2 linked regions of the Canis lupus familiaris genome follow. The protein of the gene in region 2 binds, or shares a complex with, the protein of the main gene of each other region. Links are inferred from orthologs where the notes say so. Each region holds a gene or a part of one and is shown on either strand. Other genes may lie near its edges. The genes, in order: ACSS1 and SIRT3.

Evidence for each region.
Region 1: the proteins of SIRT3 (region 2) and ACSS1 are in contact, whole or in part, in a crystal structure (PDB 3GLT), measured with the Homo sapiens proteins. The link is inferred for Canis lupus familiaris from reciprocal best matches to the Homo sapiens genes SIRT3 and ACSS1. Residues at the interface, in NP_036371.1 of Homo sapiens: Gly145, Ala146, Gly147, Thr150, Pro151, Asp156, Phe157, Arg158, Ser159, Glu177, Phe180, Gln228, Asn229, Ile230, His248, Ile291, Val292, Phe293, Phe294, Gly295, Glu296, Pro297, Leu298, Gly319, Thr320, Ser321, Leu322, Glu323, Val324, Glu325; in NP_115890.2 of Homo sapiens: Ser640, Gly641, Lys642, Val643, Met644, Arg645.

Annotation. Positions count from the first base shown.
Region 1 is NC_049244.1:1,388,096-1,391,906, forward strand, and holds part of ACSS1 (acetyl-coenzyme A synthetase 2-like, mitochondrial), read right to left. Parts: intron 1,233-3,811; coding exon 1,057-1,232; intron 662-1,056; coding exon 509-661; intron 1-508. UniProt on the Homo sapiens protein: Catalyzes the synthesis of acetyl-CoA from short-chain fatty acids. Acetate is the preferred substrate. Can also utilize propionate with a much lower affinity. Provides acetyl-CoA that is utilized mainly for oxidation under ketogenic conditions.
Region 2 is NC_049239.1:25,724,965-25,728,775, forward strand, and holds part of SIRT3 (NAD-dependent protein deacetylase sirtuin-3, mitochondrial), read right to left. Parts: intron 1,672-3,811; coding exon 1,510-1,671; intron 860-1,509; coding exon of another isoform or gene 836-859; exon of another isoform or gene 1-835.

The sequences.
Region 1 (3,811 bases), on a different chromosome or scaffold from region 2:
CAAACTGTTTTACTTTCTTTTTTTTTAATACCAAGAGAGGAAAAAAAGATCTTTTAAGTAGCAGTAAGCATTTTAACATGTAAAAGCAACCTATCCATCTCTACACAATTGAGTTGTAAATTATAATCGTAACATTTTTCACGGAGGAAGGGGGCCAGGAAGGCCTAAGCTCCTGGGCCCTGGAGTGTCACAATGCAGCTGTACCAGGTTGTGCATCCAACCTGGGGAAGGGCTCAAGTCCTTCAGAGGAGATACCAGTGCCGAGGGGCTAAAGGCCAGCAGTGAGCTACAGACCAGAAACCTAGATGAGCACAGAAACTCAGTCCCCACACCAACTTACTCACTGTGTCAGTGCCACAACTCACAGCATTAGGAGATGCATTAGCCCCTCACACAGACGGGCACCAGGTCATAATAGGAGTTCTAGCCTCATCCAGCCTCTGGCTCCCTACTCAGAGCCCTGCACAGAGGCACAGCACCTGTCACCCCAACACACCAAGGAGCATACCTTGTGTGTTAGGGCAGCATACAGCAGGTAGCCCGCCTGGGTGTGGACGAGTCCCTTGGGCGTCCCAGTGCTCCCTGAAGTGTACAGCAAGAAAAGCATGTCCTCACTGCCCATGCTCTCTGGGGCACACACAGGATCCTCCTTGGCCATCTCCTGTAAGGGGGAAGACATAAACGGCCCCATCCAAGGCAGTTACCCTCTGCCCCCATTTACCCTTTCTGAGAACCCCTCTTACCTGGCCGCTACAGGACCTGGCAGACTGGGTTTAGTTCACCTTCTCTACCCTACCCTAGTTCAACTCCAGATGCAGAGAGAGCACAAAATAAAAGGAAGGATCTGATCATTTCTGTTATATTAAGTGTCTCAGTATGTTTGTGGTATTTGAGTTCCACCTTCCCAACCACGATGTAAGTCCATCAGTTACCACTAGGGAACCCTGAGCGCCTCTAGGGGACCCAGGTTGAGGACCACAGTCTGACAAAACTCAGACCCAGTTAACCCAATAATTACCTCTCCTCCTCCAACTGTACAAAGTGAGGCAAACCCACCTGCTCGAGAGGGATGTCCAGATGCCCCATGTGGACCTTGTTGTCCGTCCTGTGAGCCACCAGGACATGCTGGACGGTCGGGCAGTGCTTCACGGCTTCATCCACGATCTTCTTCAGCTCCACCACGCGCCCTCCCCGGAGTCCTTGGTTGAAGGTGATGACCACCTTGCACTTGGCTAATGGAGACAAAAAGGTATGCTGACATCTGCCCTGGGCACTTTCCCAGAGGAGAGGCCATCACACCGTCCTTGGCCACAGCCACCGTGGTGGCAGAGCATCACCAAGATGCTGAGACCAAGCCCCAACATGTCCCATGTGCCCCAGCCCTGTGCAGGGTCAAGAAGCTTCAGTGTCCAGAAAACAGAGGCCACACCCCCAGGGGGTACCAGGAGTGACAAGCCCCCACCCTCGCCTTTAGCAGAAGGCCCTGCAGGTCCACACCTGCTCTGCAATGACCAGGCAAGGCTTCGCCAGGCCCAGGACAAGGCTGGGGAGGCCCAAGCTCCCACAGCTAACTGACGGTGAGGACCTGAGCAGGGAACTGAGTACAGAGGCAAACTGGGCTTCAGAACCATAGGCAAAGGAAGGACCCTCCACGGGATGCCTGGGTGGCTCAGCACTTCAGTGTCTGCCTTCAGTTCAGGTGGTGATCCCAGGGTCCTGGGATCGAGTCCTGCGTCGGACTCCCCGCAGGAAGCCTGCTTCTCCCTCGGTCTGTCTCTGCCCTGTGTGTGTCTCTGCCTCTGTGTGTGTGTGTGTGTGTGTGTGTGTGTGTGTGATGAATAAATTAAATCTTAAAAAAAATAAAAATAAAAAGGAATGACCCTCCATATTGTGCCCCAACCTGGGATGACCCAGAGGAATCAAGGCTGCAGTGGACTGTTCTATAACTGGCCCATAAGGAGGAGCCCGGAACAAACACCCAGGTACAGTAGTGACTGGCAGGGCTCCACACACAGCCTCAGAGCTTTTATCACTCTTCACCAAGGACTTCTTCCAAAGTCACAGGCAGAAGTGCCAATGGAATGCCCAGCCCCAGCAGCCCTCCACAATGAGTCAAGGGTTGGAATGTAAATAACCCCACTCCCCCCACCCCAGGAGCCTATCCTGACACATGTGTCTCCATCACCCCCAGGGTTCCCTGGAGAACTGAGCTCCAGGAACCATCTGTGGAAGCTGGTCTGGTGGATTCCCCTTGCCCAGCCCCACTCCCCACCACCCTCTAGCAGTTCCCAGGACTACCTCCCAAATGAACTGGCTACCCCTGACCTTTCATTTCAGGGTCTGCTTCTGTGGGAGCCCTGACTGAGGCACCCATCTCCTTCAGCTTTTCAGTTGGAAAAGTACCCTCTAGCAACATATTCTTTCTTCATCCCAAGGGACCTAGAGAGGACATGCCCTCAAAGGCCACCTAAGAATTCTCTCAGCCCTTGGCTGGGTCATCTAAGGGTCAGAGGCGTACTCTAGAGTGCTTGGAGCACCCAGGGCAGTGTCATCGAGCTCTGTATGCCAGGGGACCTCAGCTGTACACTCTGCTCCTCAGCCTTGGCCATCGGTCACCCTGGGGAAACGAAATCAGCTGGGCAGCCTGTCCGAGACCATCGTGGCCTATATCCCAGGTGCTGACACTGGACCAGGTAAACTCCCTATGGGGCAGGAAGGGAGATGATTCATCAGGTAGAAAGAGCCCAGCCTCAAGGGGATGACAGACAAAGAAAGCTCAGGACCCTCCAGGAGAAAGCAGTGGCCCCAGCCCATCCTGCGTGTTAGAACTGCATTCTGTGGACTATAGCCCTCTGCAGCTTCCCATGGCACATGCCTAGCTTTTGGCACTCATTTGTCTGAGGCTTTCCACCCAAGCAGTTGTCCAGGGCAGGAACCTCTGTGTATATACCTAGTTCCTAGGAGGTGCTTGGAAGCATGTCTCACTCTGTGGTTCTCCCTGAAGCTGGGTGATGGGTACAGGGTGTGTGCACAGCATCAGGCCAGATCAGCATGACACTTTATCTGGGAAGCTCTGATTTTACCAACCTGGTTTTTGAGCTGGTATTAGCATCTGCCTTCATTTATTGCTCCCATAGCCAATTACCACAAACTTAGGATCTCGAAAACCCCATATTTTAGTGCACAGTTCTCTAGTCCAGGTGAGTTTGGTAGGGTTCTTTTCTTGGAGTTTCATGTTTAAAATCAAGATGTGAGAGAGCAGAGCTCTTATCTGGAGGCTCTGGAGAAGAGTCTGCTTCCGAGCTATTCAGGGTTGGCAGAACTCAGCTCCATATTACTTTAGGACTAAAGTCCCCATTTCCTCATTTCCCTTGCTGTTAGCCAAGGGTCATTCTCAGCCTTTAGAGCCACCTACATCCCCTAGCTTGTGACCCCCTTTATCATCAAAGCCAGTAAAGGCAGATCAAGTCCTTCTCATGCTCTGATCTCTCATTCTGCCACATGTCCTCTGCATCCAGCCAAAGTTCTTTGATTTCCAGGGCTTACATAATTAGATATCCAGGGCTCACCTGGATAATCTCCCCCATTTTAGGGCTCATCCCATTCACCAAGCCCTTTTGCTGTGTAAGGTAACACAGTCCCAGATTTGGGGGGATTAGGGTTTGGACATCCGTGGGGGCCATTCTTTGCACCCATCCCCCAAGCCCCTCAGAATCATTCTCTGGCCCTCCACCCTCCCCCACCATATTGCCCTCTCTCTTCACTTCTCACACACCCTAAAGCAAGAGAGAAGATAAAAGTGAGGGGAGTG
Region 2 (3,811 bases):
TTCTTCCACACAGCATATGAGATGAAGTTGGAGCAATACTGCAGATTACTCGGTGCTAGAGACAAGCACTCTGATTGGGGGGTCCCAGCAGGGACACTGGGCGCTAACAAGGTAGTTGGTCTCTATGCATGGTGCTGCCCCACCTCTGGTTAAAGGTCACCACAAGGTGCAGCAGAGAAGCTGTGAGGACACCGCATAACACTCGTAGTGCTGGAGGGGGTGGAGGGATTCCTTCCTTTGCCCTCGATCTATGTGATGTATGAACACTGCCCTCTGCGGCGTTACCTGGCCACCCGCCATCGCCACCCGGACCACCACCTGCAGGGTCTCCAGCAGCTCTCCCCGCCACAACACCTGCGGGGTCAGGAGGTCAGACCCTGTCACTGTTGCCCTCTGTTCGCTCACTCCATGTGGCTGTGGCCACTGCGCAGTGCCTGCTGCCAGACACCCTCAGCTGACACGTGCATCCCCTTCTGCCCTCAGCTCCGGGGTCCCCTTCCGACAGTCATGGAAACCAAGCTGATGTCCCAATCAGTTCCTAACCCTTCCCAGCCTTCCTGTCCATGTGTCAGCACCTAACACTGTGTCACTTGCTTGCAACATCGTATTGTCTGTCCAAGGCCCTACAACAGGGCCCGGCACACAGCGGGCGCATTTGCTGGATGAATGCACCTAACTCTAGGCCTCTGTGGCCAACCACACAGGCCACAGAGTACAGGCCTTTCTGGCGCTTCTGCTCCTCGGCACCAGCACCCAACCAGGCAGAGCTCATCACAGGGTCGTGTTTGTTGCTCTTGTCACATCCTGAGCTTCAGATCTAGAGGTAGACCAGCTTCTAGAATGTGTCCACAGGTGTGTCCTAGGTACCTCAAACACAATTGTACAGAACTGAGCTCGGAACCCTCCCTCCAAATACCTTGTTACCAAAAAAAGGCCTGAGTGCCCACAGACACAACCAGACCACTCCATCTCCTGTCCCCAAGTCCAGCCGTTCTTCTCTTTGCCCTCTCTCATGGTCAGATGATCTGACCGGGCCCACAGCCTCACCTTCATGAGAACCCACCTCCCAGGCATCTCCTTCAATCCCCACTCCCCAGCAGGTTCTGGGACCTTGAGCACTGGCTAAGCCCCTGGCTCAACCACTTCAAGTCTACCGCTTCTAGCACAAAACCAGCCTCTGTGATGTGGCCTGGTAAGTCTGTCCTGCCCTACTCTCCAGGTCCCTCCTTCCTCCCTTCCCTTACACACCGTGCCCCACCCATGCTGATGGTGCCTCCAAAGCTGAGCACCCTCCCTCTTCCCCATTCTGCCCAGACTGCCAATCCCTTGGCCAGGAATACCTCTGCTTCCCGACCAGTTGAACCTACTCATCTTCCGAAGCTAGGACGCCAGATGTGAAGGCTCCAAGAGCAGCTGGTGCCACCCCCAGCAGCCTCACCTCCTCGGCCCTGTCCTTATAGCCTCCCCTGCCCCTGCACACTCAGTCCACCACTGGACCTGCTGACAAACCTCCAGGGAGGTCCCGAGGATGAGCAGCATATCTGCCATTGGGAAATCAAGTACATGCAGCAGGAACCTCTGAGGCAGTGTCTCCCCAAAGAACACGATGTCAGGCTTCAAAACGCCAGTGCACACTGGGCAGCGGGGGATCTTGTCCATGCTCACGTCGGCCTGTGCAACACACATAGACAACAGGCCAAGGACAATGTCACGACATACTCAGGCTGCCAGACGGGAGGGGGCGGGGTGGGGAGTGCACTTGCTGTGAGGAGCACCAGGCGACGTATGGAGGTGAGTCACTAGATCGTACACCTGAAACTAATGTAACACTGTACGTTACCTAATTTAAATAAAACTTTTTAAAAAGACTGCTTTTACTAAGAAATTTTCAAACATTCATAACAGCTGAATAATGAACCCAGATTTGGCATTTATTGACATTTTGCCAATTTTGTTTCAATGGCTCCCTGAAACTGGGGACACACTGGAGTATTTGAAGGTGCATCCTGAAGAGCCCATGATATCTAGCACATGTAACGCCAGGCTGTGCCCTTCAGGGGCTTATCAGAGACATTCAGATGCTAAGGAAATAGTATGTGACACAGTCCTCAGGAGGTACTCTGCAGGCATTTGGCCTACACTAAACATGATTCAATGAGAAAGCTGGTATAAAGTTTGTACCTGATTGAAGTGATCATGACATCACCCTAGACCTGGAAGGCATTCAAGCAGGAGCTGTAAGCAGTGTTGCCACAGACCACTAGCTTGCAGGCCAAGGTGAGGTAGACGCAAATCACTGCTCTGCCCTAAGATGCCTGTGTTCATGTGCTGGGCTGGGTGTCAAAGGAAGGAGCCTAAGAACGAGGACAACAGCTTCCTAAGACAAACCTTCCTGGCCCTGTCTTAGCAAGCTGAGCCCAGCCAGAACCAGCAGACACAACAGACCAAGGAGACACTACTCAGAGACTTCAGATACTATTAGAGACACATTAAGGCCATTTTGTGTTTAACTTTTTTTTTAAAAAAAGGGTTTGAAGTATCTGTTGGGGATAGAAAACTATAAAAAATAATGTAGTGGATTTGAAAAAGAACCAAAGAGAACTTCTAGAAATAAAAGTAACAAAAATTAGGAAGGCATTATTGTGATGAGCACTGGGTGTTGTATATAGGTGATAAATCACAAAGTTGTACTCCTGAAACTGATACTGTGATATATGTTAACTAACTAAATTTAAATAAAAATTAGGAAGAAAAAAATGGGGCAAGTAATTCAGATCTGGAAATGAGCCCACAGCTGGTTGAGGTTTCACATCTCATTAAACCTTTTCCAAACAAAAAACAGTAACAAAAATTAGCACTTAGTGGAAGAACCTTATTTTATACAACAGAATAGAAGGTTGGTAAACTGGAAAATAGATCAAAAGACATTATTCAGAACACAGCACAGAGAAGCAAGATGGAACACACAGAAGAGCCATGGGTGGGAGCGTGAGGTCTCATGGGAGTTTAAGTAGAGCTCCACAAGGGAGGTGAGGGAGTGGGAGATGCAATCGACATCTGAGAGGCAACAGCCAGGGATTTTTCCACTAATGATGAAAACCACAGATTCAGAAAGCCCTATAAATTTTAAGCAGAATAAGTAAACAAAAGGAAATCCATATGGAGAGTTACCCCAGTAACAGTGTAAAACTCTAAAACTCCAAAGACAAAGAGAAAAGATTTAAAAATAAGCAGAGAACAGATACAAACTGATTCTAAAGTTTATATGGAAAGCAAAAGACCAGAATAGCCAACACAATATTGAGGCAAAGAACAAGACTGACACTATCTGACTTCAAGACTTATTATAAAAAGCCACAGGAATCAGGACTGTGGCTCTATTGTAGGGAGCAGAAGAATAGATCAGGGGAACAGAACAGAGAGGCTGGAAGTACCCTCACACAAACACAGTCAACTCTTCTTTGACAAAGGACCAAATCTCATCTCTTCAACAAATGGTGCTGGACATTATGAAAATTAATAAAGGGAAACCCTGCTAATGTGGATTCAGGAGGTCGGAAGGAGCCCTACTGCTCAAACATCAATCACACGAAGAAGTGTGAACTACAGACCCAACAGAAGAACCCTCAACAGGAAGAACCATCAACGGCAGGTCCCAACAGGGGAAGATGTGCACCCCCCCTCTACAACAAATTGGCTACCCCAGCGATCAGCTGGTGAGACACCATCATTCCCCAGACCTGTCTCTCAAGCCCCTCCCTACTCCTTCCTCTCCATCAAATGTCCCTCTCCTTTGTTGTTTGGACGTGCC